Alligator mississippiensis: one gene and its partners. The protein of the gene in region 2 interacts with the protein of the main gene of each other region in a pairwise test. Links are inferred from orthologs where the notes say so. Each region holds a gene or a part of one and is shown on either strand. Other genes may lie near its edges. The genes, in order: AEBP2, HMBOX1 and ABITRAM.

The links.
Region 1: the proteins of HMBOX1 (region 2) and AEBP2 interact in binary tests that used the Homo sapiens proteins (3 or more experiments, as listed by UniProt). The two-hybrid records come from large-scale screens. The link is inferred for Alligator mississippiensis from reciprocal best matches to the Homo sapiens genes HMBOX1 and AEBP2.
Region 3: the proteins of HMBOX1 (region 2) and ABITRAM interact in binary tests that used the Homo sapiens proteins (3 or more experiments, as listed by UniProt). The two-hybrid records come from large-scale screens. The link is inferred for Alligator mississippiensis from reciprocal best matches to the Homo sapiens genes HMBOX1 and ABITRAM.

The regions. Positions count from the first base shown.
Region 1 is NC_081827.1:123,054,879-123,064,668, reverse strand, and holds the start of AEBP2 (zinc finger protein AEBP2), read right to left. Parts: upstream 4,705-9,790; 5' UTR 4,620-4,704; coding exon 4,036-4,619; intron 1-4,035. UniProt on the Homo sapiens protein: Acts as an accessory subunit for the core Polycomb repressive complex 2 (PRC2), which mediates histone H3K27 (H3K27me3) trimethylation on chromatin leading to transcriptional repression of the affected target gene.
Region 2 is NC_081824.1:6,032,995-6,042,871, reverse strand, and holds the start of HMBOX1 (homeobox-containing protein 1), read right to left. Parts: upstream 4,781-9,877; 5' UTR 4,762-4,780; coding exon 4,721-4,761; coding exon of another isoform or gene 4,710-4,720; intron 1-4,709. Other genes in the region: INTS9 (integrator complex subunit 9), read left to right, coding at 5,045-5,053. UniProt on the Homo sapiens protein: Binds directly to 5'-TTAGGG-3' repeats in telomeric DNA. Associates with the telomerase complex at sites of active telomere processing and positively regulates telomere elongation.
Region 3 is NC_081826.1:145,410,437-145,420,477, forward strand, and holds the start of ABITRAM (protein Abitram), read right to left. Parts: upstream 4,980-10,041; 5' UTR 4,929-4,979; coding exon 4,874-4,928; intron 4,725-4,873; coding exon 4,676-4,724; intron 1-4,675. UniProt on the Homo sapiens protein: Actin-binding protein that regulates actin polymerization, filopodia dynamics and increases the branching of proximal dendrites of developing neurons.

The DNA of each region.
Region 1 (9,790 bases), on a different chromosome or scaffold from region 2:
CTTGGAAGCATGCATCAGCTGCTACAATACATATTGCTACAGAACAGGCAAGTTAGCCAATTCACTGCAACCATTAGTTACAGACTTGTAACATGCTTGCTACACTTGTCTCATTACAGAAGCAAGCATTAACAATTACATGCTAATGGCTTATATCAGTAGCCTTTGACATCAACATAATGGTTACACACGCCTATACACTGGGTTAGCCAGCATGGGTGTGAACTAGCTGCACTACCAAGTTATAGCCAAAGCCAAGTTACTGAATCTAGTAAAGCCCTGTACTCACCTGTTACAGTGCTGTATTTCTGGAGGAACGTTCAGTGATTCTTAGCCCTACAACAAGATAAACTGCTGTATTTTTTTCCAGTTAATTGTGGGAGAACTTCTTTGTCCTTCCAGAAATTCTACAGAAATTGTATGGAAGCACCAAAAGACTGTCAACACTTGCATGGTTAAGCCTTTGTCTTTGTTACAAAATTGAAGCATTAGCAGCCCCAATTGAAAGAGCTACCTGAGCTCTGTCTTACAGCCCTAAATGCAACAGCTAGCCTAAACTGACAACATCAAGCTCAGGTCAGGGGTCTTTGAGTAGAAGGGAGTACTGAAACAACTTCCCAGGAATGAAAAGTGAAGACATGTCCTAAGCAATTACTTTCTAGCTGTCTATACATTCTTTGAGAAGGGTATCAGTTTAGCTATTTGACAATTGAGATCAGCAAGTATGTACCCTCTCAAAATTAGTGGCAATGAAAAACAGAGAGTCAACCATCAAAAAAATAATCTTGAAGTGAGACCAATTCTTTTAGGTAATAAGTTATTAATGCCTTCTTTTTTGGGGGGGGGTGGAGGGGGGAGGAAGAAATGCAGTAGGACCTCAAAAGTACATTCAGGGAACTCTCTATTCCTAGAAATAAATATTAAAAAAAAATTAAAAAAATAACAAAACACATTTTGAGCCATAGTTAGCCTGTTTCAAAGTGCCTGCATTCTACAGAGTAATTTTCACAACACTTAATACACCCAGGATCTGCTGTTCTTTTCTAATCTGTGATTTTGTCAAGATCCATAAAAATGTTAGTGTTGGAAGAAACAGGTGAGTCACCTATTTAATAATTTAGGCACATACTGCTTCTGCAAGAAAGATTCAGTTAAATACAAGAGCGCCAAATATTCAAAATTTTAGATTTTTCATCCTCTATCTATAGTAAATAAATTCACTATTTTGGTACTTTTTGTAATTGTGATCAATACTAATGAATGTCAGGACTAAGAACTCCAACACCAGCCTACTCTGTCCCACCACATCCTTCTTTTCATTAGTTCTCCAAAAGGAAAGCAGGGGGCAGGGGAGGGAACGCCACTCAGAGCATGATCTGAGCATTACCAAACCTACTTACAGAAAGCATGACAGACTATGCCTCATCAAGAATGCCCTTCCATTTAGCCACTTCTCCTTAACTTAAGGGCTGTTAATTTGGGCACCCCAGTTCAGTCCCTCTCTCTCTAAATCATACTATGTAAGATGTTATCTCCAAAACAACCAGAATTCAACCCATTTAGCGATTCATGGGTGAAAGCCTTAACCTTTAGTACTAACTCAATCCCTGAGCAAAGCATAACATGCTTCTCTTTGTGAAACACCATTTAATAAGCAAAATGCTACATCTGCTGGAGTTGCAATTATTGAAAAGAAAAGGTGAAACCCCATGTAGATTTCACTTTAATAATAATATAATCTGGAAGTGAGCACATGCTGTGGTAAGGCACGGATACAAAAAACACATTTTGCAACTTTTACCAAGAATAAATGGTAAAAGAGCACTCTAATTACAAAAACTACTACTACCAACCCAAAAATCCAGAGGAAACCAAAACCAAAACAGAAGTTATGCTGTGTTGGGGAAAGTGTACTTTCTGTAGAGCACTTCACAGGCATCACAGAACAGAACAGCCCCTGCCACACCTTGTCTCTGGGGCCCCTACTCCTGTGACTGAATCTGAAAAAAAGCAACAAGGGTGCTATGAGTGGGTGCAGAAAACTGCATGCACAGATTTAGATGCACGGCCATCTCAGAACATGAAAACAGACACACACAAAAAGAAATAGCGAGAAAGTTGGGGTTCCCACAAGTCCCACCAGATAATAGGTAAATTGTTTAAGAGAAACTCTGCCATTTTTTTCTATTGCTCTCCTATCCTAACCCAACTACTTTTTTGGGTTGAGCCCCACAGGTTAGCGAGCTCCCCTCTTCTAGTCTAATATTTCAAGGACTAAGCCACCCGAATATATGATCTGATTTAGATGAGAAGAAAAAATGCGTACTTGCAACTGCCAATCTTCACAAGTTTATGGCACATCTAGCAGAGAGACTCTCTCTTAAAGACACAGGATTTCATAAAGTCTCATCTTTCACTTAAAAAAAAAATGTTTCTAAGCCTTAGGGTTGCAGAGAAAAGGTTGATAATCTGACCAACATAAAAGTTGAACCCAAAGAAAGAAATAATAATAATAATAATAATAAAATATCTCTTCTCTCTCTCTATAAAAGTGTAATGATTTTTAGATCAAGTCACTTGATTTAAAAATCTGTTTGGGGGCACTTGTTACACAGCTCATGAACACTTGGGGTTGCGCATTGAAGCCTCCTACACATCTGCAATTTTAACATCCCAGAAAACCCTAACAAATTCAGAGTAGTGAAAAACACAGCTTTACTATATTTTCAAATAAATCTTAGAACCCAACTATGAAAAAATCCCTATATAGGTTGTGTACTTTACCAGTTTAGATTACACAGACAGTGGTTAAAGTAAACTCTACATTACACATGAAATTAATTGCTCATTTAGAAAACTTCATATAAATGGATAAGAACTTTTATAGTGTATGGAACTCAATTATTTTTCTGAATAGATCCAATTGTATACATATTATATAGCCAGATATAAAATTGAGGAATGGTTTTCTAAAGGTAACAGCTACATGTATTCTTAACCCACACTAGAGTTAAGGGGGGGAAATAATAAGAAGGAACAAAACTGCCTACATACTTTTTAGTGAGAAAAAAATATGTGGAAAGGTTTTCCCATGTAATGGAAGGCAGCATGTGTTAGAGCAAGTACATTAAAATTCTCTAAGAGAAGTGTTACAGCCAGGTTGCTACTTCCTCTCTGTAGGACCTAGACATTTATACTGAAACTGACAGAACGCATCAAAATAAACTCAGTTTAACGTTTAACATTTCACCTTAGACTATTACAACACACTAGCTGTACTGCAATGGGAAGTACAACTTCAGAGACAGGTTAACTTAAAACAAATAAACAAAACAAAACAACAGCACCCCGGAAAAACTATGAAACTTTACAATGCAAGTATCCACCTTCTATTAAGCTATGCTTACAAAAGCCTCCTGTAGGTACCAGACTGAAGGGCTTCCAAAACATAAATAAGTAAATAAATCCAGGGGGCTGCATTTCAAGATTCACTACACTTGATCCTAGCCTACAAGAGGCTGAGAAGCCCCAAACCCAACCCAATCTGTCCAACCCTTTTGGGGGGGGGGGGGAGAAGCACAACCTTTAGGACCAAGTAGATTTTTACACCTGTATAAATCAGTAACTGTCCTGTTCAGGGTCACGAAACCCAGCCAGTGACAAAATCATATGCAGGAGGCTCTTCGTCCCCCAGAAGCTGAAGGGACAAATGACTTTTACACTTCTCCTGGCAATTCTCAACCCTGTGTATGGGGGAGAACACAATGGGACAACATGAAGTACCCCAGGGTGCCTGCGGACCCTTTCTAGGGTGCCGCACAGCATACACCCGGCCCTTAGGTGAGCAGACACGAACCCCACCAGAGGGGTGTAGTGGAACTCGGCAGCCTTACAAACGCCACGAACCGAGGTGTTTGCAACAGCAGAGCTGCCCGGCCCCTTCTCTCGGTGGCCGATCGGGGGGGGGGGGGGGGGGGGGGGGGGGAAGGTGGAACCTGTGGCTGACGGGCAGGGCGGTCCCTCCGTTGAACCCACCTGTCCTCCGAGTCCATGCGGCTGAGCGGCTCCCCGTCCGACGACATCTCCAGGCTGCCGCGGCGGCCACCCGACGTGGCACTGCAGCTGCTGCTGCCGCCGCCACCCGTGCCGTAGCCCTCGTCCGCGCCGCTCGACACGCTGCTGCTACTACTGCTACTACTACTGCTGCTGCTGCCGCCGGCCCCGCAGCCCCCCGCGCCGCCGCGGCCCGGCCCTGCTGCCTGCCCACCCCGCGGGCCCTTGGGCTCATCCTTGGCGTCCGCCTCGCTGCTGCCGCCGGGGCTGAGCGAGCGCGTCTCGTCGCTGCAGCAGCCGCTGCTGCTACCCGCCAGGCTACTCCTCTCCTCCTCCTCGCCGCCCTCCTCCTCCTCGTCCTCTTCCTCCTCGTCGCCCGCCTGGCTCGCGCTGCCCGGGCTGCGCTCCGACATGCTCTCCGCCTCGCCGCCCAGCAGCAGCAGCACCGCCCGCGGGCCCGCCCCGACTCCAGCCCCGCCGCCGGCCTCCGCTCCAGCCTCCTCCTCAGCCGCCTGGCCGGGCAGCGGCCCCTCCAGCTCCGCCATGTCGCTGCGAGCAGCCGCCATGGCGCCTCCGAGCCGCCGTGCGTGCGTGCGTGTCCCCGCCCGTGTACGTGCGTGCGTGTGCGCCTGTCCTCCTGCTACCGCCGCGCCGGGCAGCCGCAGAGGGAGGGGCCGCCGCACGCGCTACGGAGCGCGCCCGGGGACAAAATAGAGCCGTTGGAGGAGGGGGGGGGGGCAGCGCCTGGCGCCCGCGGAGGAGGGGAAGCGAGAACGAGGCTTCTGCATAGGACGGGCTGTTCCAAGTGCGAAAGGGGAGGGGGCAGAAGTAGATGGAGCGCTGCATTGCGCACACACGGGAGGGAAGTTGCGCGGCTCCTGTTGTGGACTCGCCCAGTGCCCCTGGGCTACTCACGTGGTGCCCCCTGCGCCTGTGGAGCAGCCGTGGTGGCCAGCGCAGCAGCCTCACCCTGGGGTGCCTGTCCCATGTGCCACGGGGTGCCACAGGGCGAGGCTTTCACACGGGGAAGCCCCCCGGTACTTACCTGGCAGGGGAATACCATAACCATGAAGGTGGTTTTCCTAGTTGTAGGGGAAAACCACTTTCTTGGCAGGGGGTAGTATCCTGATGGAGATAATCCAGCGGGCAGATCTTGGCTACATGCCGACTCCTCCTGCACGTGCTCCTGCAGCCATGCCCCCGAGGGCAAGGGGAACTCGGGGGCACCTGAACCCCAAGCTGCCAGGCCTGCACAGAGGATGCCCATCAAAGGATTGAGAAGCATCTGAAGCCCCAGGCAGGGGTGGAGCAGTGCCACGTTTGATTCTGGAATGACTCGCGGATTTGGAATCGATTTGGCTTGGAACATGAACATTTTTCCTTAAAAAACAAAGTGTTAAGTGCAGGCAGCTCCCTCATGGCCTCTCTCAGTGCTGGGGTTCCCCTGCGTGAAATCCTTCCAAAGCCTGTGTGTGCACACCTCGCCCTGTGGCACCTGGGACAGCCTAGCCAGGCACCACAGGGCGAGGCTGCTCGGTTGTGGCCTCTCTCAGTTCTTTGCCACAGAAGTATCACTCTCCTGTGTTTCTGCAATCAGGAAAGGAATGAAAGCTGCAAGCCCGCGTTGCGTTGCCGAGGGACGCCCTGAGCCTAGAGAGGGTGTCTTGTGCGGAAATGGTTGAGAACTGTTGGGCCTGTTGGTTCCTTGCCTGGGTCACCAAGGCCGCCAATGCTAACATGCTTCGTCCCACACAGTGTGCCATACAATAAAAATGCTAAATGCAAGGCCCAGGACCAGACACCACTCCCCTGACAGAAAAATATCAGGCCATGAGAGAAAAATCAGCAGAACCTCCCATTCTAGCAACTCCTGGTTGTTTCTGTCCTGCCTGGAAGGATCCCAAACCCCCAATCGAAAGTTACTTGGCCTGGGCCTGAGACAGTCCCAACACACGGAGATGAACTCACCCCAGCAATTGCCCATGGATCCATTAGCAGTAACATCATACCATAGCAACATCAAAACAGGAAACACCAAGACAGTCAATATGCTGAAAAAAAGGGATATCAAATCTGAAAACAAACCAACTACATCTTCCCCCTAGAGAACCATGTAAGCAAATTTAGAGGGCTATAAATGGCATGTTTGGCTTTTGAAAAAACATTTGGCCCAGGCTGAGACCACGTTCTTCATTGCTAGAATATGGAGTTGGTGGGAAAGTATGAAGTATGCCTGAAAACAAGGTTTGGGAATAAGAAAGTTGCAGCCTTTGCATTATTCTTGTTAACACACACATCTTCAAATGGCCAACTCTATCAGAGCGGACATTAAAAAACTTATGCCCTTGCTATGAGATAAAGTACTTGTTATATGCTTCCTTTTTCTCTTTACGGAGAAAAAGATGCAATGCAGATTTTTTTTACTGGTATGCAACTGATTTTTATTGCTCAGTTCTGAGTTAGGGTTAAAAAAAATGAGCCAGTTGTCATACTGCAGTGGCCAATAGCTATAGATAAAGGTGGCTATAGTGCCACTTTAGAGCCGTGCTTCCCTACCTTCAACACTTTAGCCGATCCATGGATTGTGATCCAGGAACGGAACAGAAAAGGGTGGATGCTAGGTCATGATAAATCAGAATTACTTAGTGTACTTACATAAAAAATTGCTTCTAACATCTATTCTAAGGAAGCAAACAGGAACGAATGGGGAATGAAAGGTTAAGTACCTGGATTTCCTTGAGATGTGCTGTCTATGCAGTTTACTTTTGGTGCCCCAGGAGTTCAAGAGCACAATCCTTTGGCCTGCAGCCTTCCTTGAGGACGTGTACATTTCCTGAGTTTCCTTCTGATCCCACCAATTGCAAATAAAGAGTAGTGCAGGCCCAAACAACACTCAGTTTCTTCACCATTGCAGTACCAACAGTAGCAAGGAATGAGGAGGGCAGGCTATAGAATACACAAAAACACATCTCAAAGGATTCCATTTACAATGGGATAAGTTAATTTTGTTATTCCTTTGAGCTGGTGTCCCTATATATTCCACTTTTGGGATGTCACAAGCAGGAATCTAATACAAGACGGTATGTAGAGAAACTACTTAAGCAGATATTGCAGTAAAGGCACTTGTATCTTGAGGCTTATTTCAAGTATTGTATGAAGCCTGAGCAGCTGCCCTGCAGATGTCTCAAATGAGTATGCTTTGGATGGGAGCTACTGAAGCTGCCTCAGCCCTGGTGAAGCAAACCTTGAGCTGAGCAGGTAGATCTAAAGTAGGTAGCTCATCACAGGGCCTAATGGATTCTAGTACGTATTTGGGTATACTGTGGGCTGGTATTACTTAACCTTTCATTCAGTCAGCAAATGTTATTAATAGTCTCAAAACCTTATCCTTTCATCTGTAAAGAACCATTTTTTTTCAGAGTTTCCCCAAAACTATTTAAAGTATGTGGCCTAGCTACCCCCTGCTCAATATAGGTTTAGGGGGAAATATGAATTAAAGAATCATGTGGCTCAAAGGAAAATCTGTGATTACTGTAGGCATGTGAGTACCTACTCAGACCTTATCCTTCTGCAGTGTTGCATAAGAAAAGCCAGCTGTGAGAGCCTGCATTTCCCCCCTTATTTTGACTGATGTCATTGCAGCTCAAAAGGATGTCTTCATAGATAAATGAACAAGAAACAGGATGTCAGGCATTCAAATAGGAAGCTCATTAAGTCTGTAAGTACCACATTAATGTCCAGTGGAGATGGCAGTTCCCTAATTGGTGGAATAAATGGGTATAAAGTGTAGTCTAAACAATCCAAATAATTATTTTTTATAGTTGCAATATGGGATGAGGATGTAGCAAACGATGACTGTTTCCTTTTTTTTTTTTCACTTTTGTTTCCAGGAGGCTCTAAGGTGGTTGTAGTTTCCTAGTGATTATCCTTGCCTAGAGCAGTGGTTCTTACCTTTGTAGACTCATGGGACCCTCCATTACATTTCTAAATTGAGCCATACCCCATTTTAAATAACTCATTTGTTTATTACAGTGCATACCTCCTTGCACATAGGGCCTGGTGGTGGAGGAATGGCCAGTCAGGGAGAGCCTGAGCCTGCCTTTATTTTCTTATCTCCTACATCACTTCACTTCTCAGCCCTTGCACTCTGAGAATCACTAGCTTAGAGTAAAAGCTTCTGGTCTTTCTTACTTTCTCATACAAATCAGTATATAAACATGAAGAAAAAGTAATTTTTTATATAACGTGTAGTTGCGGTAGGAGGTGGTGGAGGCGCAGATAGCATAGTCAGGTTCAAAAAGGGACTGGATGAATTCATGGATGATAGTTCAATTAATGGCTATTGTACAGAATGGTTGGAGATGTTACCTCTGGCATCTCTAGCCCATAAATGTTAGATGCCAGAGAGGATATTGCATAGGGGATATATCACCCTAGAGATACCTGGTTTGATGCTCTCTTTATATGGCATCCACTTCTGCCTCTGTCAGAGGCAGGATACTGGGCTAGATGGGCCACTGGTTGGACCCACTATGGCACTTCTTGCTCTTATGAAAGGAAGCATTTAATATTATAGGGCAGTGGGCTGTGACCATGAGTACCCAACTTCCTTGAACTTCAGAAAAGGTCAGATTGGCAGAAAAGACCCATTTATTATATCCTACTAGAAGTAGAACCCCTATTTGCTAAAGCAGGGGTCAGAAACCTTTTAGAAATAACAGGTCGGGATAACGTGGAAATAGAGTTTTTGCACTAAACCAGTCTAGGCCCTGGAAGAGAAAATGCACCACTGCACCTCTTGGGGAAACACCCAAACTTTGGAGTCTGGATGATGGGCATCACTCTGAAATGAGGCAATATCAGAACCATGTAGAGCTTCCTGAAGGGATCCGATTTCTCTCACACAAGTTATATATTTAACTCCTCTCTGCTTTTCTGTGGGAGTTTTGCAAGAAAGACATATTCTGCCAGGAATGGTTGATAAATAGCAATCCAGAACTGCATTGGCAGAGGTGTAACACTAACATCCTAATAAATTGAGCTACTAAGATTCTTTTCCTCTGGGAGTCATCTTTGTCTGTTGCTACCTACTCCTTTAATCAGCTGTGAGATTCACTAACAAGACAGGTGCTGAATAAAACTGACAAATGCTGCCTGGTACTTTGTATCTGCCTTTTTAGAGCTTGGTATTACTGTGGTTGGTATTTGCCAAGTACTAAATACATTTTGCCAACTCTAAAAGGTCTTCACTGACAGGTGAAATCAAACATCCAGGTATGGAGTCGTGAAGAATGACAATAGCCTTCTTGGATCTAACCCACCAGTATTTGAAGAGATCAGATTATACATCTGAACAGATACTGAAATTAAAGTGCTTGAAGCCATCCAGGAAAAAGTATGGATTGGATCAAATACATCATCCAGGAATAGAGGACATGTAGCCAGGTGGCTTTGTCTGATCTTGTTGGACCTAGTACTTGAAGGAAGCACCTCTGGACTCAGGTGGAGCATGTCACACCTGAGGGCATTGTATAGAGTGATCTTATAAAAAATGAAGGCAAAAGGCACACCTTAAACTGAGTCCTTTAGGACTTACACATGGAGCAGTGTGTGGGTTTTTTGGCAGGGGATGGGGATGGGGGTGATATATTACATACCCCCCCCCCGATAAAAAAAGCTTTTTAATGTGCCCATTAATTGATATTGCCCCATCACAGGTGATAAAATGTTTAAGATG
Region 2 (9,877 bases):
CAGTGGACAAGCTGCTCTTTGTGCCTCAGTCTGCAGTCTGTAAAATGGGAAAAATGCATTGATTTTTTTTTTTAAAGGTTCTTTCATGTTTACTCAAACCTCCAAACTGTTAACACTTTACCTGCAGTAACTTCAAGCACGTGAGGAATCCCATTGATTTCAATAAGACCACTTGCATTTCTCAAAGTTAAACGTGTATATCAGCATTTGCAGAATCAAAAAGAAATGCAAAAACTCTAGACCTCTTGATTCAGAGATGATACCACATATTAAACCAACTAAAAAATTGCAAAAAAAATATCTTTTTTCTGCAAGCTTTTGGGCACACACACCCTTCCTCAGGCTCAGGGAAAATTAAAGGTGGTAAAAAGTCCCCATTGGTAGAAAATAAACTTTCTTTGCAGAATCAAGGCCTTTTACTATCATTTTTCAGGTCTCTAACTAGGTGCATAACACAGTGCCTAGTCTTGATATCTCCTGGGTTACTGCACTCGTTTATACAGGGGCAATGAATTACAGTTTCCAGCTCTTGACTGAATACTCCATTACCAAATCAACTTAAGAGGCATATAGTTTAAAAGACCCTCTCCCCCCCCCCCCCACAAAAATCAACCAAAAACCTTGTCAGTAATATGACACTTATGTGAACACACAAGGTAATACCATCAGGACATGTATAAACTAAAGGCCCAATCCCACAAGGAGTTGTAGGTGGTTACCAGAGCCAGCGTGAAGCTGCATTAAAATCAATGTAAAGTGACATTGACTGCACTGACTATAAAAGCATCCCAGCTGGGAGCAGCCCAGACAACAAACAAACTGCATTAAGTTATCTGTAAGACAGGTAAAGTTATCTGTTCTGCTGCAATAAGATTTTTACGCTGACAGCATTTTTTAACCTGATTGACTCCAAATCCTGAAGTTCCCTGAAGGTGAAGAACATGCCCATAAACTGCTCTGATCCTGCATTCAAAACCCTATGAGCGCTGCACAGAAAGGACTACACTCAGGAATCTCTCATGCAACCAGTAGCTGTTAGCATAAAAGGCAATCTTCAAAAATCCCTGTTTATGGAAGGGAGGCATCAGCATGCTTTAAGTTAAACTGTTTCTTGCATCAGAATAATATTCATTCCCCCAGCTCCCACCACACACACTTATCTAGAGTCTTCCCCACTCCCCAGAACTGCACACTGAAGGTCCAGACTGCATAAGGCACACACTGGCTAAAGTGTTAGCAGAACAAGTGCATTTCACTACAGAAACTTGAATTTCTTTAGTCCCAGGGTTTCCTTAGCTCCCGAAACAAAGGCAGAGAACAATTCAAACTCCTCCCTGAACTTACGCATATGCCACTTCATTATCATGACAAAATGAGTGCATCAGGGAACACTTGGGATTTCATTTTCCAAGCACTGCTCAGACATTTGCTGGCCCCACCTCTCTGAAGGAGAGCAGAAGAAATCCTTGCATGACAGACATGGAAACAGGCATAGGGTAAACTTCTCTGAGCAGGAAGGGTCCATGTCCACTCTGCAGAGCATCTAGCACAACGGGAGCTCGTTACCAGGTGGCCATGTAGGCACAAACTATTATAGTTGTGCTTGTACAACGGAATATGCTTTCAAGACTGAAGCAACTTGCCAAAATTAGTGGGAGAAAGAGGAATGTCTCAGCTACCTAGGATTTTCTGAGAATTTCCCACCAATTCTCTGGCAACATTGCAGTTTCATGCCCAGGAAGAATGCCTGGCAGCCCACATGCTACAATGTCGTCTAGACCTGCTCTGAACGGAGGTAGATGACACAGGATTAAAAATGCTGATGGCTGACTGCTAGCAACAGTGCTAACAGAATGGGAGGAAGATTAAGAGAACAGGCACAGCAGAGTTAAACACCACGTCCTTGTTCCTGATCCCATGCTCAGCCCGCTAGACAATTCTGTCTGTACAGAAAGCTGTGCCTGACTCAGGGTTAAAGACGAAGAACTTGTGTGTCAGAAGGGGACACGGCATCCCCAGATGCAAGCATTTCACTTTAGTTTGAGCAGAATTGTCCCACCTCAGAGAACCCAGAGCTCTGAGGACACAGAGACAGCAGATAATTTTCACAACCAGAAATATAAATCTGCCTGAAGCTAAAAAAGTTCAAAATATCAGTACATGTAATGTACTGCTCCCCACCCCACACACCTTCTGCCCTCTCCCCACCCCACACACCTTCTGCCTCCCTACCTTCTCCTTAAGGATTTGGAGCTGAAAGAGCAGAAGGAGAGTCAAGACGCACACAAATAAACAAAGTTTACGGTCTGCTGTTGCAGGACCATACCCCAGCATGATCTTACAGCGACTAAAGAAAAGTCTTCAGAGTTATATATCCACATACACCCACTCCCCTCTCACCAGCATCCCTGTGAGCCTGGCCTAATGTTAGATAAATAAAGAGAAAGGCAGTTCCTACTAATGAGGCAGGGTACGGCAAGGCCAAAGAAAATGCAATCATCTCAGGGGGGAAAAAAAAAACAAAAAAAAAAAAAACTGCACTGGGCTCCTCCTCTCCCATCTATGGAGGAAATCAGATGCCAGCTGCACCATCCGAGGAAGGAAGCAGAGAGAGGCTCTTGCACCTGATGAGCCCTGCAGAAATGAGTTAGCTATATCACAGGACCCAGACAGCCACTCCAGGATTTTGCAAGCCCAAAAGTTGTCTGCTTAGCACAAACCGTTTATATGACAATTTTATTTTCTGGGGTGTCAAACCATGCAAATGTCATCCCTTTCACTGGGTCCTTCTCCACTATCCCCTCTGGCCTCTGGGGCACTCGGCCAGTGCCCATCAGACTCGCTGTTCTCACATCACGACTCTGCCCATCAGTTTAACACTTCCTTCCCCAGGTTAAAACCCACAGCTTTCAGTTGGTATAGATTTTGCACTTCCCTCGATGCCACAAAAAACTCCAGAAGCAACCAAAATATACCCGACTTCAGCGACTTGGAAATATCACCCCCGCACAAGCAAGCTTCCCCCCGCCAAAAAAAGGCATCCTCCCCCTCCCCCATGTGAAGGGGGTTGGGGAAAGCATCACCCACCGCCAAAGGGCCAGAAGCCAGAGAGAAACGGAGCTGCTGCAGAAACTGTTTCCAAAGAAATGCCCTGCAGATGGATTCAGCGACACTTCTAACTGCCACTTCCCACCAATAAACCCACCGGCCAACACAGAGGGGGCAAAAAGCTCTGCCGGGCTCCTGCGTTTCGCAGTTCCTGAAGGAAGACGCGACTCCCAGCCGGTATTATTCTAACTCCGCGGCAAAGCCAAAAAAGCATAGGGCCAGGATAAAAAAAGAAAAAAAAAAAAAAAAAAAGAGCAGCCATGCGGCATTTTCCTCCCTCCCACCGCCCCCAGCAGCAGCAGCCACTCTTCCCTAGGGCAGTTTCAGGGCCCCACACATCCCAGATGTGCAGGGAGAAGAGATTTCCCAAGCCCCAGCCTCTCCCTAAAATACCAAGTCATGAGGATATGAAGGCAAACATCCCCCCACCCTCCGCCCAATGTCTCCTCATGCTCCACATGTGGGGAAGGGATTTCTCCTTCTCCCAGCCCCAGTCTCCCCCTGAAAAACAAAGTCATGAGCGTACGAAGGCAGACGCTGCCCCCCTCACCCCTCTCCAACCTGGACATAGAGAAGGAGGGAGTTTCACCCTCTTCCCAGCCCCAACCTCCCCCTGAAATACGAGGGGACGCTGCCCCCCCGTTTCTCCTCACACCCAGCATCCCGGACGCGCACCAGCCTTGCCCTACACCCCACGTCCCGGGCACGTGAAGTGATTTCACCCCCCGCCACCTCTCCTCACACCCGAAGTCCCGGACACAGGAAGGGATTTCACCCCTCCAGCCTCTCCTCACACCCAGCATCCCGGACACGCGCCAGGAAGGGATTTCACCACCCGCCCCAGCCTCTCCTCACACCCCATGTCCCAGACCCACAAAGGGACTTAACCCCCCCCCCACAAGTCCCAAACCCATGAAGGGATTTAAACCCCCCCCCCCAGTCCCAAACCCATGATGGCATTTAAACGCCCCCCACAAGTCCCAAACCCATGAAGGGATTTAACCCCCCCCCCCCAGTCCCAAACCCATGATGGCATTTAAACGCCCCGCACAAGTCCCAAACCCATGAAGGGATTTAACGCCCCCCCCCCCCAGGCCCAGACCCACGAAGGGATTTAACCCCTGCCCCCCCAATTCCCAGACCCACGAAGGCATTTAACCCCCCCCATCCCAGACCCACAAAGGGATTTAACCCCCCCCTCCCAAGTCCCAAACCCAAGAAGGGATTTAACCCCCACCCCCCCAATCCCAGACCCATGAAGGGATTTGCCCCCCCAACCTTTCCTCACACCCCAAGCCCCAGACACAACCACGTAGGGGCTTCACCCCCCAGCCCCCCCCCCCAAAAAAAAATTTACAAAGTAACAAGGAGACACACACAGACCCCCCCCCGCACACACGCACGCACACACACACACACACACACACATACACACACACGCACGCAGAGTGAAGGGTTGCGACCCCCAACCCCAGACACACGAGGGGATCCCCACCACATACAGTGAAGGGGTGCCACCCCCTCAGCCCCCCCGAAATACGAAGTGAGGAGGATACACAGGCAACCCCTCCCTCCCCCTCACACCCCCTTTCAGGGCTCACCCCAGACGGACCGTCTTTGTCTGCCTGACGAGCGCCATGTTGATATCAACATCCGAGCGCCCACCTGCCGCCGCGCCGCGGCCCTGGGACTTGTAGTTCGCCGCTCCCCAGGGCGGCGGACGGCGGGCGGCCCGCGGACTGCAACTCCCGGCGTGCCCCGCGGCCCGCCAATCAGGGAGCGCGGCCGGCCGACTACAGCTCCCGGCATGCCTCCCGGGCATGACCTCATCCGCCGGCTGAGGAGGCGGGGAGGGACTACAGGTCCCAGCGTGCCCCGCGCGCTGGGAGGGGGAAGAGGCAGGGCAGGAAGGGGCAGGGGGGAAGAGGCCGGCAGCATGAAGCTGGTGAGTGGGGCGGTGCAGGCCGGGGGGGGGCTCTCTTGTCCTTCCCCCTCCTGTGTCCTGGGGAGCCTCAGCCTTGGCCCCTGCTCCCCCTCCCCACCTTGCTGGAGGGCCCCGTCCTGCACATGGGGAAACTGAGGCACAGGAGGGGCCTAGGCTGGGGGTTCATGCCTGTATTAAGGCCCCAAACAGGCTTGTGTGCACCGGGGGGGCGGGGGAGGAGCGTGGCCGTTTTGGGGGAGGGGTATATGGGGGCTGGGGTGGCACTGGGGTGGTTTGGGGGGATGGTGGAGGGGTATTTTGGGGCTCGGGTGGTTTTTTGAGGGAAAGGGGTGTTTGGAGGCTGGGGTGGTTTTGGGGGATGGTGGAAGGGTATCTTGAGGCTGGGGTGGCACTGAAGTAGTTTGTTGGGGTGGCCCTGGGGGCAATTTTGGGGGATAGTAGAGGGGCATCTTGGGGCTGGGGTGGCACTGGGGGCAGTTTTTGGGGGTGGTGGAGGGGTATCTTGGGACCGGTTTGACACTGGGTGAAGTTCTTGGGTGGCAGTGGAGGGGCATTTCATCTGGGGTGGCGCTGGGGGCAGTTTGGGGGGATGATGTAGGGGCATCTTGGGTCTGGGGGGGCAGTTTAGGAGGGAAGTGTTGGAGGTGCATCTTGGGCAGGGAGCTGGGGCTGCGGAGGGCACGGCAGGTTGGTGAGCGTCTCTGCTCAGTGCTGGGAGCAGCTGAGCATCGATTTCCACCTGAGTTTACAGGGCACTAGAGAAACTTATGGGGAGGAAAGCTCTGATATAACACTGTCTAGTCAGATAACCCAGTCCTGATCGCCCTCCTCTTTGTAACCGCTCTTCTTTTGCAGTAGATAACTCTGTTCAGATATGCCCAGGGCTGTCGTAAAGCAGACGGCCATCAACTGTTGTCTTTGTTTACAGGACAAGAAGTAATGGCCTCTGACGTGCAACACAGGAGATATAGGTTAGATGTTAGGAAGAACTTTCTAACTGCGAGGCTGGTTGAGCACTGGAAGAGGTGACCTGAAAAGGCTGCAAAACCTCTGGTGCTGGAAAGTGGGGTTTTTTTGGTTTTTTTTTTAAATGCATGTTAGACAATTTTAGAGGTTGATTCTCAACCTTGTTAGACATGGGGCACCCCTCAGAAAATGCCTGGAGGCTGCAAGTGAGAGGAAGAGTGGGAAAAATCCCTTATCATGCCTTGTTCACTCTCCCTTTCAGCATCTGCTCTCTGCTGCCCCATGACACAAGAGCCTGGGCAATTGGACCTATGATGTCATTCTGTAAATGGCAGTTTTGTTGTTCACACATTTTTAACTATGGAAAAATCATAGAGCGGGTTTTTTGATGCAAAGAACTCAGAAAGATCATAACAGATCTAAATGTGTTTAACCCAAGGATTCCTATTTGAAATTTCTAGGTTCATCAGAGGGTGGTTTTGATTTAAATACAGTTGTTTTAAATCAAGAACCCTCAATTTTAATCATTATTTTCTACAAAAAGTGCATTCTTGATGTTTGATATAACCTTCATTAAAATATTCCCAACCTGGGTCTCTTTTATGGCTTGGCCAGCCTGCTGCCATGATAGGTTTTCCCTTCTACCATATCATTCCCTCGCTAGATCTCAAATTAGTGAAGAAGCTATACTCAGAAACTTATTCCTCAAGACTTTTGGAATATTCTGCTAAAAATGTTTCTTTTGTTTCTATTGCCATCCCGTCCTTGCATTATGTCTAGACTCTTCCTCCTTGCCCAGATCTACTCCACCCCCAACAATCCTTTATTCATTTAACTTTTTGAAACTTTGCACTTTTAGAGTGGGGCAAAAGCTTGACTCTGCATACACAAACTTGCCGAGACAAGAGGGCTGATCCGTAGGTAATTGGGTCGGTTCTCTCTCATCTCTGTGTACTGCTGTTAACAGGGGTGTTACCTCTGGAGAGACAAATCCACAGTCTGAGAACTGAAACTAAACATCACAGAGATGCTTAATGGGATTTTCTAGACTGAGCACTGAGTTCCACTGGGTAGAATAGTTTTCTTTAATCCTTACTAATCATTGGAGAATCCTTTGGGAACCCCATAAGATTGGACCCTAATATAGTCTATGGCCTGTTTTGACCTATTTATAAAGCTTCTCTAAAAAGGTTACATGAATATATTGTTTCAAATAGTATATAATTAGAAGTTATAATCCCTATTCCATGATGATATCTTTGAGCTCTAACATATCTTAAGTTTAAACTATTTTTATGTAGGTTTATTTTTTAAAAATCGTAAGAAAAAAATCGATATGATTCAATCAGAAAAATCTGATTTAAATAAAAAAATTCAACTTTTAATTAAAAAAAATCATTGATTTTTGTCCACCCTGGTTCATCATGTGAATCATGTTTGTACACCTAACAGTGCTAGTGTTGTGTGCCCCCCCGATAGGATTTCAAGGCACCCCTTGAAATCACCCCTTGGGTCACTGGTTTAGAGGATCCTGCTTTGAGCAGAGGATTCATTTAGAAGACCTCTTAAGGTGCCTTCCATTTCAATTATTTTAGTTATCATTCTTTGTAGCCACTTTACCAAGTTTTCCTCCCTCCGGCTCGGACTGTCATGTCCCAGCGTACAGGGACAATCTGTAGCTTTTCTTTTCCTCAGGCAAAGAAAGGTTGGGCTGACTTCCACAGGTGTTGAGTACCTTTGTCTGAGGAAGGTGTAGATGGCATAGGTTGGCACTCAGTACAGTAAAATCTCTGCTATCTGACATTTAACTAGCCAGAATACTCTGTTAACTGGAATTTCTGGCCGGCCGGACGCAGGGGAAAGCTCGCACACGGCAGCTGCCACGGCCGCTCCGCGTGGGCTGCCCTGCACTGCCATTGCTCTGCTGTGCCGAGCTTTGCTCCGCGCTGAACCCTGCTGCTGTTGCTGCTCCACATGTAACTGCTGCCACCTCCCCACTCCACATCTGGCTGCCGCCACCCCCACCTGCCCCGGCTCTGCGTCTGGCCAGCAACCTCCGTACTTCAGGTAACCGGTATTTTTAGATTTCTGGCACCCCCTGTTCTCTGCTCATGCCAGATAATGAGGCCTTTACTGTACTTCTTAAAAATACCTGCATAACCTAAGGAGCTTATCCAGTGCACGCACTCCTTTGACGGCAGAGCCTGGAGTAGAGTTACCAGTTTAATTTCAGAGAAATATAATAATAGGCAACTGTCCATCCTCTGGATCATGTTGTATTCATGTAAGAGGTCTATGATCATCACACCAAGGCCTTCAATGCATATTCCTAAGTGAGAGTATGGGGGCTGCCCAAAGCCTGCCATCCCCACTTTAGACCGTTGAGACAGAATCCAAAGGCCAGACCGAGTTCAGATGTTCAGTGCCTCAAGGGCGGTAGTTTCTGCCAGACAGCAACAGATAAGACCTGTTGCTGACTGCCTAGTGCCTCAGTGAGGGTGCATTTGTCAGTGTGATCTCCCTTAGCCTTTCTCCAGCCAAGGAGTACCCACAAGGCAGTTGAAGCTAGGGTTTTGAGGCACCCTATACTTGCCTTACCCTCGAGGTTGCAACATTGGGGTATTTTACTGGAGTTACCCCACCATGAGTAGCCCCGCAACATTAGCACCCAGCCTGCCAGTTGGATGCAGTTTATGGTCATACCCAGCACCCAAAGAAATATAGGAACCCTCTAAAGGAAATTGTTGGTATCTGATTATATACTTGTAACACATTGATCAGTGGTTTTTAAACCTCTTTCATCTAGGGACCCCTAAAAAAATTCGAATGGAGCTGCAGACCCCTTTGAATTGTAAGCGTGGTTATTCACATACTTTTGATTGTCATCTTTCGCAGACCCCTTAGATATCGTCTTTGGCCCCCCCCAGGGGTCCACGAGCCATAGGTTGAAAACCACTGACGCTTAATCATTATGCAAAGGATTAATCTACATGTGTCCCCTCTCATTCCTCAATCTGATATAACAGTACCCCACTACTTGTAGGTAGTAGTTCACCATCAGAGAATGCTTCCCTTTATAGTGTATTTTAATATCTTATGCAGAAAGCAGGGCAGGGTGGCACCTTATAGACTAACTCATTCAGAGAACCGTGACCTATTAATGGATTAGTACCCGATGAGCTAAGCTGTAGCCTCTGAAAGCTCATGCCTCTCTGAATGAGTTAGTCTATAAAGTGCCACCCTGATTCATAGATTCATAGATGTTAGGGTTGGAAGGGACCTCAATAGATCATCGAGTTCGACCCCCTGCATAAGCAGGAAAGAGTGCTGGGTCTAGATGACCCCAGCTAGATACTCGTCTAACCTCCTCTTGAAGACCCCCAGGGGAGGGGAGAGCACCACCTCCCTTGGGAGCCCGTTCCAGACCTTAGCCACTCGAACTGTGAAGAAGTTCTTCCTAATGTCCAGTCTAAATGTGCTCTCTGCTAGCTTGTGGCCATTGTTTCTTGTAACCCCCAGGGGCGCCTTGGTGAATAAATCCTCACCAATTCCCTTCTGTGCCCCCGTGATGAACTTATAGGCAGCCACAAGGTCGCCTCTCAGCCTTCTCTTGCGGAGGCTGAAAAGGTCCAGTTTCTCTAGTCTCTCCTTGTAGGGCTTGGTCTGCAGGCCCTTGACCATACGAGTGGCCCTTCTCTGGACCCTCTCCAGGTTATCCGCATCCCTCTTGAATTGCGGCGCCCAGAATTGCACGCAGTACTCCAACTGCGGTCTGACCAGCGCCCGATAGAGGGGAAGTATCACCTCCCTGGACCTGTTCGTCATGCATCAGCTGATGCACGATAAAGTGCCATTGGC
Region 3 (10,041 bases), on a different chromosome or scaffold from region 2:
GCAACATGCCACTCCAAGTTCATATTGTTCTCAGGCCCTGTGAAAGAATACCAGGAAACACAAATAGCCACCAAAAGAAACCTGTACAAAATGACTGGATGCAAAGTGCTATCAGAACCTAAAATAAAAGGAACCCAAAAGTCAATTTGTTAACTTTAAGTAGTATGTGGTGCCTGTAACAAATTTTCAAATGCAGTTTATCATGGTGAGTGTATCTTTTACAACAAGCATCTAATATAATGCAATGTTTGTCCCTGGCAAGTAAAAAAGTTATTCAGAAGAAGAATATAAAAATGCAAGTTTGGAGAAGCTGTTACCACCCAGTATTGTACAGAAAGCAAATAAACAGCACAGATGTGAATTTATGATGTTTGCACACACTGCAGAAAGTCACAAAAAACAGAGTTTAGAAGTAGGAATAAATACCATCTAATCTGATTATAAAAAGACATGAGTATTTCTATGGGTTTTTAATCCTCTGTAGAAGTGTCAGTCTGAAATATGGCTTTTCTATTCTTAATTATCCCACTAGACATTAAAATGCTGAAAGAAAGATCAGAGTGGCAAGAATACAAAGAACAAGAGTTTTCAACAGCTGTTAAATGTTTCTTCTGAAGGGGGCAACTTCTGTTCTTCATTCTTGTTTCTCAAGCCTAAAGAAGTGAGGGGTTTTTATACGTACATTTTAAATTTCTTCTTTTACTTAAAAAATGATAAGGGATGTCAAAAATCTGCTCATCCTAGCTTCTACTGGAGGGCTTGAGAGATGTCTATTGTGAAATCATTAAAGGAAGAGGGAAGAGAAACAAACAGTAAAGCAAAATAGCTTTTCCCCCTAAATACTTATTTTACACTTAAAAGAATAAACACACAGCACTGCAATCTCTTATCTGCTTATATTACAGTTCTAAGATGTGCTTGATACTTTCCAATCTGGTCCCTTATGATGCTAGGATGGCACAAGATCAAGACGTTTATGGTACAAAGGACCGGATTTTCTAATGCTTGAAAAGTGGCAGTGCAAACAAACAAACAAAAAACCCCCAAGGAAAAAAAAAAAGACACAACCTAGCTAGCCTCAAACAAAGCAGGCCACACACAGTATCATCGCACCTTTGCAGGACTCATTTTTCACTTAGTATACATTAACTTAAATACTTCTCATCATAACCAGAACTGGCATAGTAGTACACCAGAAATGTGTTTTTTTTCTGAAAATGCTACTGGTTTCCTATTTTTCTGTATGTAGTATTTATTTTCATGTGCTGATAGGCATCACTTATAGGTCTTCATATGGAGTTACTTGTGTCCCAGGGATTATACAGCTTCTCAATTCATATTGAAAAATTGGAAAGTATTTCAGAAGTTTCACTACAGCCTTTTTCGTCTGTTTAAGCTGCTAAATAAATAGTTGCTAGAACACTGTGATATTTCTGGGATATCTATATTTAAAAAAAAAAAAAAAAGGTATGCTTTATAATGAACTAGCAACCCTGCAAACCTTGATTCTGAAACTCGAGTGAGCCTCCCTTTCCTTCTTATGCATAACTGATAGTAGGACTGGCTCTGCAGACCAAAGAAGGTTTTCAGTGATACCTGTGCAACCCCTTGAAAGCTAAAACTTAGTGTTGAGAATGCAAATTCAGTCTGATCCACTTTTGTCCCATCTAAGAGGAATGCAAGATTAACAGATGAAAATGTATGGCTAGACCTAAAAAAAGGCTTGATCCTGTTTTAGGTGCCTAAGTCTAAAATTTAAATCTGCAAAACCTCTGCTCAGCTGCCATCTACTCCTTAGTCTATATGGGACTAAAGTCTGGACAGAGCAGAGCAGCCCAGCACTTCTCTCATACTGAAGACCTGCTGGGATCCATAAACTAGGTGTTTCTCTGTCAACTGTGCCCAAAAGTGTTATTGTTACGTATGCTCCAAGAATGCCTACCTCATGCCTAGTGAATTGCACTCCACAGAAAATCCAGTAGCAGCCACTGCTTCCATTGAAAACGCAGAAGGAAGTGATATAGCAGCAGCCCCTTTTTTATTCAAAAGTACAGTGTTCAGAGTGCCTAACCCTGGGTGTGGAAGACTTGAGTTAAATCCCCTCTTCTCACTGACAAGATTCAACCCCACATCTCCTGCCTCCCCAAAGAGCACGGTAACCACCAGGGTATAAATTATTTTGGGGTATGGAGCATATTCACTGCTCCTACTGAAGCTGTTCCACCTTGAATAAATATGGAGAGTCCTTAGAACAGGAAGTGGGATGAGGGTTCTTCTTTCCCAGGTAAAGGCTTTAACCACTAGGCTATAGAATAAGGCCCACACTTGCTCTGGTCCAACCATCTTGGACCCTTTTCAGAACAGTGGCACAACTTCAACACCAGAGCAAGAGTATCCACACACAGAACAGTCTATGCCATGAAGATTAGGGTATTCTTGTGAGAAGTGGGAAGTGAGGGTTTGAATCCTCTCAGGCGGAAGAGGGATTTGAACCAGGGTCTCCCACATCATAAGTGCTCTAACCACTGTGCAACTGCATAGAAAAGGAATAGGCATATTGTCCTCCAGACATTTTAAAAAGATATAAAAATGTAATCCTTTCTTTCAAAGGCCAAACAAGGATCTAGGCTCCTCCTTCTACGAGGAGGCTCAAGCTGTACAGGCTAAGTGGAGAGGGTTAGCTCCTGGTAGTGATGAAGTGCTTATGCCCCAGAGACCGGTGGGATTCAAGTAACACATCTGTTGTCAGTATCTCCTGCTGACTTACTTCTGCTGCGTCCCATTTGGCACAATGGATGCTGTGAATTTCCCCCAACCCCCCCTAGGTGTTGTGCCTAGTACCAGTCTGCAGCCGCGAGGCCTGGCACTCAAAAGCTAGGTGCTGTGAAACCAAGCCCTGTAATAACTAAGCCCCAGAGTGGGCCTGGCCTTTAGCTGCTAGATTATACAGAAACAAATCCGGATAAGCATACAGAGCTGCTGAGTGAGTGAATGCTACTGCCAAAGCAAAATTACACATCAAAGTGGGAAGCGATCTGTTCAATACTGATAGTTACAGGAGGCACTTACTTATTCAAAGGCAGAGTTTCAAAATGAGACTTACGTAACAAAGTGATTTACCTCCTTAACCCAGGGGTGCTCAAGCCCTAGATCCGGCTTCTGCCACAGTGCCATCCAGCCTGCAGGACTCCCCAGGAGTCTGGAAATTTGGCAACAAGGGAGTGGTGGCCCTGCTCCCCTGATGCCAAATCTCTGGATCCAAGGGAAGCCCCCAAGCCCTACCTGCTGGATGGGCACCAAAGCCATCCCTAGCAGGGGGTGAATCAGGGCAACCACCCCAGGCCTCATGTTTTGGGGGACGTGGACAGTGCTGTACAGGCCCTGCTGTGCGTCACCAACTCTGCGCTGCAGCCGCTCACCATGCCCCCTCCCCCACCAGCTGCAGCTGCTCGCCTCCACCCCGTCGTGTGCTACAGCCGCTCGCCACCCCCCAGCCCCAAACAGGCTGGTATACCCAAGGCGCAGCACACCCCTAGAGACAGCTCTGATGGGTGCTCAATCCCAGCATGCCAGGCCAGGAGAGGGCACTGTAGGACCCCTGGGCCCAATCCTGGTGGCGGGGTCTGGGAGGGGACAGTGTTGTGTCACTGGGAACCAATCCCGGCACATGGGGGAGGCTGGGAAGGGGCAGCACAAGGATCCCAACCTGGTGCATCAGGGGCAGTAAGAGGTGTTGCCAGGCCCCTCAGGCCCACTCTTGGTGTGTGGGGCAGAGATAATGCAGTGCCAGGCCCCAGGGCCCAACCTGGCTCACAGACTATCCCAGTGCCACTCATTTGCCTGTGGCACTAAAAGGTTGAGCACCTTCACCTGTCTCATGCCAATCGCCACTCACAATGTCAACAAAACACAAGAACCCCAGTGTTTCCTAGTGCTTCCCATGCCACTGTCTACATGGGACCAGTCACTGTGACCTGTTATGGACACCAGACAGGAGCGCTGGGAACAGCTTGAGCAGCACTCAGGGACACAGACTGTTCTGCTTCCCCATCCCACATGCTGGTGAAGTGGGGGCTGTACCTGCCCTGCGGCCTGCTCCGACTTGTGCCGAACAGAAACCAGCTCTGGAGCTGCCGCGTGTGCTCCAGCACTCACGCGAGAGCCACCTGGGCCTTTGCTGAGCTGGAAAGCCCATTGTATTGTGCAATGACAACTTTGCCTGTGCAGCCGCTCTGTGCTTACTGCACAATCCCCCCACTGACTGCGTCATCGTGGCCAGTCTACATCTACTGCACAGATGAACCATTAATTGCAATTCACCCATAAACAACATGATAGTGGCTTGGCACCTGTGGTTGGTGTGCATTTATTGCCTGGGTCACCCGCGCGTTGCACAATAATGCCTTTACTCGTGCGTGCAGCCGCTCTATGTTTCTGACGCAGTTCGCCCATTAACTGCGGTTCACCCACTTGTTGTGCGATGACGGCTTTGCCCATGCAGCTGGTCTACGTTTATGACATGGTATTGTTGTGCGATAATGACTTGGCACAAGCGGCAGGCGTGCATTTATTGCGCCGGTCACCCACTTTGGGTCATGACTTCGTCTGCGACCGCTGTACATGTATTGCGTGGCGTGCGATACACGTGCCGTGTGCAGGGCGGGGCTGTGCTCACCTGTTGGAGTGCTGCAGGATGCAGTAGTCCTCGCGGGGCTGCCCCACGTCTGCAAGAAACAGCGACACGGGCCTCGTGAGCGGGCGGGCGCGCTCCGGCCCCCCAAACCCGGCCAGGCCGCGCGCAGCACCCCCCGGGCGCAGCAACAACCCCGAGGCCCAGGAGGGGGGGAAGAAAGGAGGGAGAGGGGGCACCCACCTGTCTTGTACCAGCGCGTGAAATACCGCTCCGTCACGCCCGGAGCCGCAGCCATGGCCGTCCCGCCCCCCTCAGGAACAGGGAGCCAATCAGGGCCAAGCAATGCGCGCACCGCCCGGCGCATCTGCGGACTGACGCAAGCGGACCGGAAGCCTCTGATTGGCTGGCGGGGTTAGAGGCGGAAGTGCCGCTGCTACTGCTGCTGAGGCGCTCGCCGGCTTCCGGCGCCGGTCCAGAGCAGCACGAGCACAGGGGGCGGGCCCCGGGGACCTGCAGCTCTGCGCCCGGGCTCACGCGTGTTGCCAGGTGATGCAGTGGCTTTTCCCAAGAGATGTGCACATTGCTGGGAGCCCGGGCCCGCCCCCCCGCTGCTTTCTGCCGTGCTGGAGGCCTCGCCCAGACACCGGCGCCAGGAGCGGTTCAGTCTGAATCGCAGTGTGAGAAGCGGATGGTGGGGGACAGTTTCGACAGAGAGGAGAGGCACAGGCCTGGGGTCACAACCAACGTACTATGTAGGCGCCAGTTTTTATTTGGGGGTGCTAAGGTGACGGATATGTGGAAAATTGTTGGCATTTCAGCTGAGCCCTCTTCCCAAGGGGGGCTAGGGCCCTCGGGCCCCTACCTCTGACACCCAATGCTATTAAGGCAACCCTAGGAAAAACCAATGGTCACAGATAATGACTCAGTTTCCCTGCTCCTTCTCAATCTGCCAAAAGATGGTTAGGACAGTTTGAATGGCCAGGAATACAGAAATCTGAACCTGAAGGGATAAAACCCCCACACAAAAGCAGAGAGGTGGGAGTCTGCAACTTGCCTCGAATCACAAGGCCTATGTCTACCTGTTCTCGGCTGTTTTTAGTTGCTGTTGGTAATGTTGCCCAATTGATAATGCCCCAACAAACCAGCGTATAGTTTGGAGGAACTTACTTTGGTTTCTCCTGTACTTCTTTGAATAAAACCCCTCAGAGATATCCTGGGTGTAACTATTCATCACACACTGGCTGGCTGACTGAGAAGGAAAAAGCAGCCTACAGCATAAAAAGAATTTTGCCTGGGCATGGTAGTAAGCTCCTACCCATTAGCGTCAAAGATTGAATGTGAAATGCAAAGGTTATGCAGATCTGGTACAGTGATGTTTCCTTTTAAATCAAGAATATTTATTTACAGCTATTGGTCATTTCCTTTGGGCAAGGGGGGGCTTAGAGGCAATCATTCTTAGAACATGCTAATGACTATTGTGTCATTTTGCACTTTTCATATGGCCCTAAATGGTGTCTAGCAGACAGAGCTCCCTTGAAACAGTGAGAGTCCTTGCAGTTCCAGAGGTAGACTGACCCCAGAGCAATACAGTGCAAACCATTGCAGCATCAAAGCAGCTGGCTGGTTGTACCACACCACAATCTCTGCATCTTCTCCAGTTTTCCCACCCTTCCTTGTATATTCATAAAGGTACAACAGCATCAGCTCTCATTGGTTTTCTTCTGCACCCCACCCCTTGCCTGCTAGCTATGCTATTCTTCTCTTGAGGGTGATAGATTTAAATTCTACCTTCCCTTTCATTTCATTATCTGAGTTAATAGGGTGTGGAGTCTCAGCTCCCTGTAGTGTCACCTTTTAATCTGGGAGACAGCTGCACAGGGAGCCAGTGAAGCTGCCATCTGGTGGTTTTCTAAGCCTACCACACATAATGGCCAAGGGCCTTGGTTGAGAACCCCTATTTTAACATACTAAACTATCAGGGTATTGTGTATTTTAGTATTCTATATTATTAGTGAAAATTCATTGGTATAGCTTTCAAGAATACAGAACTTTAAAGAATCAGAACAGCAAGAAGAAACATCTGTCCTTATTTCATTAAGAGCTAAAAAGAAAACCTGTGATGGGTACATATGAAAACCTTGATTTGTGTACAGTAATAAACTTATTCGAAAATTATTGTTGCATTGGATTAGATGAGTAAATTGGAGAGTGGCATGTTTTAATATCATATTAGCCTTGCTCTTCAACTGGAAATGGGCTCTCCTTTAGATGTCAAGGTGAATGAAATAATAGGAGTCAAATGGCTGAAGGTGCCAATATTTAGAATTATCCTTTGGTGAGTATGGGCCATCATTTTTCCTGTATTTAAAAAAAGTCACACATTCTTAATAATCTAAGATTACAGATCACAACAGTTGCAGTTTAAATCTTTGAGTTTTTAGCAGAGAGGTACAACTCCCACAGAATCTGAATAACTTAGCTTCTGCTATGATTTTCAATGGAGCAGCTAAAAATGCATCCACAAGTTTTTGAAGACTAAGATCCAGAGCAGAGCTTCACTGATCTAATTCAATATGGCAGTTCTTACAGACTGATCTACCATGATCCAAAATACCATTCCAGCCAAAGCTGATATTTGCTCAGAATCCAAGTGAATCCATTTGCTCAGAATTCTGCCCTGGCTGGCGATTTGAAACAGGAGTAAGTTTTGTTCAGTCATGTTCGGATTAAAGAAATACTGACTGATGAATTTATTTAGATACAAAATGAGAGAAAAGCTCATCTGTACTCATGACTATTCTATCTCCCTTGCAAATGAAATTTCCTAGTGCTTTGTCCACCTGATTTGAAACTGAAAATTGTTAGGTTACTGGTTTTTTTTAAACTTCCCCTGGTTGTCAGACTTGAGTTTCTCCTATATTTAACCTCCTTCCTCAGTTAACTTAAGTGATTTGGCGCATCAGTGACTGTTCTTATTTTAGTTTCAAGACTACCATTTTATTTCCAGTTCTCTAAGTAGTTCACTGCCACTTTGTTGAAAAAGTCAGGAAGTTGCAATAGAGTGTTAACAGCAGTTTAGAGCAAAGATCCTTACAGATGATGTGGATGTGAAGGGCTAAGCGCACACAGCCTGGCTGGTCACTGCCCCTTCTCTGACACACACAGCCCAGTCCCGGCTACTATTGTTAGCCTTGGCCATTTTCAAGCGGCCTAGGCTAAGCTGCAGAAGTGCTGCTAAGCAGAAGGCCCCAAACATGCTTTTGAGTAACTGCAGTGTGAACCTTTGCACATGTTACAACTAACTTGGTCAGGAAGTAAAGGAAATCATCAAGTACAGTTAAACAAATTACAGAGCCTAAAAGGAGGTAAGAGAAGACCATATATTTAATAATCCATATATGCTACATCATAGCTTTATCTTAAAGTTGTAGCAACAGTGATTGATGTAACCAAGTGTATGAGATGTTATTTTCCTGTAATAGATATATTTCTGTTAAGATGCTTAGATAATCTGTAAAAACAAAAACAGCCTTTCAGAGAAGAGCATAAAGGAAGGTAAAGAAGAAACAGCATTCCACAATGGAGAAGGAAAGGTGATAAGAAACCCTCCATCTTTCCCAAAGATATAAATCCCAAAAAATTGCCACCTTCCAAGCCCATAAAAAATCTGGTTCAGCCCAGTTCCAAAAGTTTCAGTGAAAAAAGGACATTTAAATAAAACTAATCAGGGGTCATTTAAAACCAGCCATTTATAAGTATTAGGCATGGGCTGGAGGGAAATTTGGAGAACTGCGAATTCAAGAAGACCTGCCACCAATCTGTGTGTCCCCCCCCACTCTCAGATCTCCCCAGTTGGTATAGGTGAGAATCAGCATTGTGCTGTTGTGGGTAGCCAGATAGACTTTGAGATAAATGTTTGTTCTCATGTTTTAAGGTGAAAGCCGATAAAAAGTTGGGCTGTAGACCTGTTTCTGTCTCTCATTAGTAGCCTACCCACAAGGTTACCTATAGCATAAGTAACAGTATGAGAAGATGGAGGCTCACTCCTCCTCACACCTCCTACTGCCTGGGCCCTGTACAGGAAGTAGGGATGTAAATACTGATTTTAAAACTATCCGTTTAACCTGTTGCAATTACAACAGGTTTACTCACTATGGTAACCTCCAGCCTGGCCTGTAGGGCACCCCTGCCAAACCCAGCACCAGTGGGGGGCTTCCAGCCCCCACCAGGTGTGATAAACTCAGCAATGCCCCCACAACAAACTAGGCTGGTGGGTCCTTTCTGAGCCCAAGTTTGGGCATGGATGGGGCAGGTGGGGCATGCCATGGGGCTGGGCCAGAGGCCCAGGGGAGTCACCCTGCACCTGCTTACCTCAATCTTGTCCTTGTCATACCTGCAGCAGCTGTAGCAGCAGAAGGCACTGCATGGGGGACAGGCATAGTGACACTGGGCTCCAGCCCACAGCTCTGCAAAGTCAGACTAAGGGGTGCTGAGCTGCAGGCTGGTGCCTGTCCCACTCTTCCTTGGAGGAGGGTTTGCATCTACCTGCCGAGTGGCACAGGGAGTTGGGGGCCAGAGCACAGCCTAGGAAGCCACAGGCAGCAGTAGTCAGAGAAGGGCTTTACCAGCCCACTGCAGCCACCAGCACATAGCTTCCTTGGGCCCAGCTGCAGCAGAACAGGTGGGAGGGGGAGGTGTCACTAATACCCAATAGCTAGGCTCTGTAAACCCATTTGCAGCCTGTGCTCTGGCAGCCTGCCTGGAACCTGGTCTGCTCATGGCAGGCAGCAGGGAGGCTGCAAGTGGCTGCACCAGGGTCACAGAGCCTAGGTATTAATCACCACACCCCTCCCCTCCTGGCTCCTCTCCCCCTCCCTCCTGCCCCGCAGCCTGCTGGTTCCATTCCGCCTCTTCCCCCCAGACTGTACCCAGCCTCAGGTTAAAACATGACCAGTTAGCTAGAACCAGTTATCACTGGCTGATTGGTTAAATGATTAATCATTTAACCATTCACATCCCTAACAGGAAGGTAGGCACCAAAATAAAAGTTTTAGAAATGAAGTGTCACTCAGTTCACAAAAGTTGGAGGGACACCTGGAGTCTAAAGGTGGGGAACCACTGCTCTAGAATAAAAAAGTCTATAAAGTGCTACCCTGCCCTACCTTTTGCCTATACTGGACTCGTTGAAAGAAGCTTGAGCTTTTGCAGGTTACATTATCTGATGAAGTAGGCTGCCACCTATAAAAGCTCATGCTTCTGAACCAGGTAGGCAGGATAGGGTGGCACCTTATAGACTTCTGCGTAATGTCAGGGTCTTGTTACACCTTATGCTGGGAGCTGCACAAGTGTTGATTCGTGTCAGTACTAGCTCGAGTTAGGAACAGCAAGCAGGGACCTGGAGAACTGAA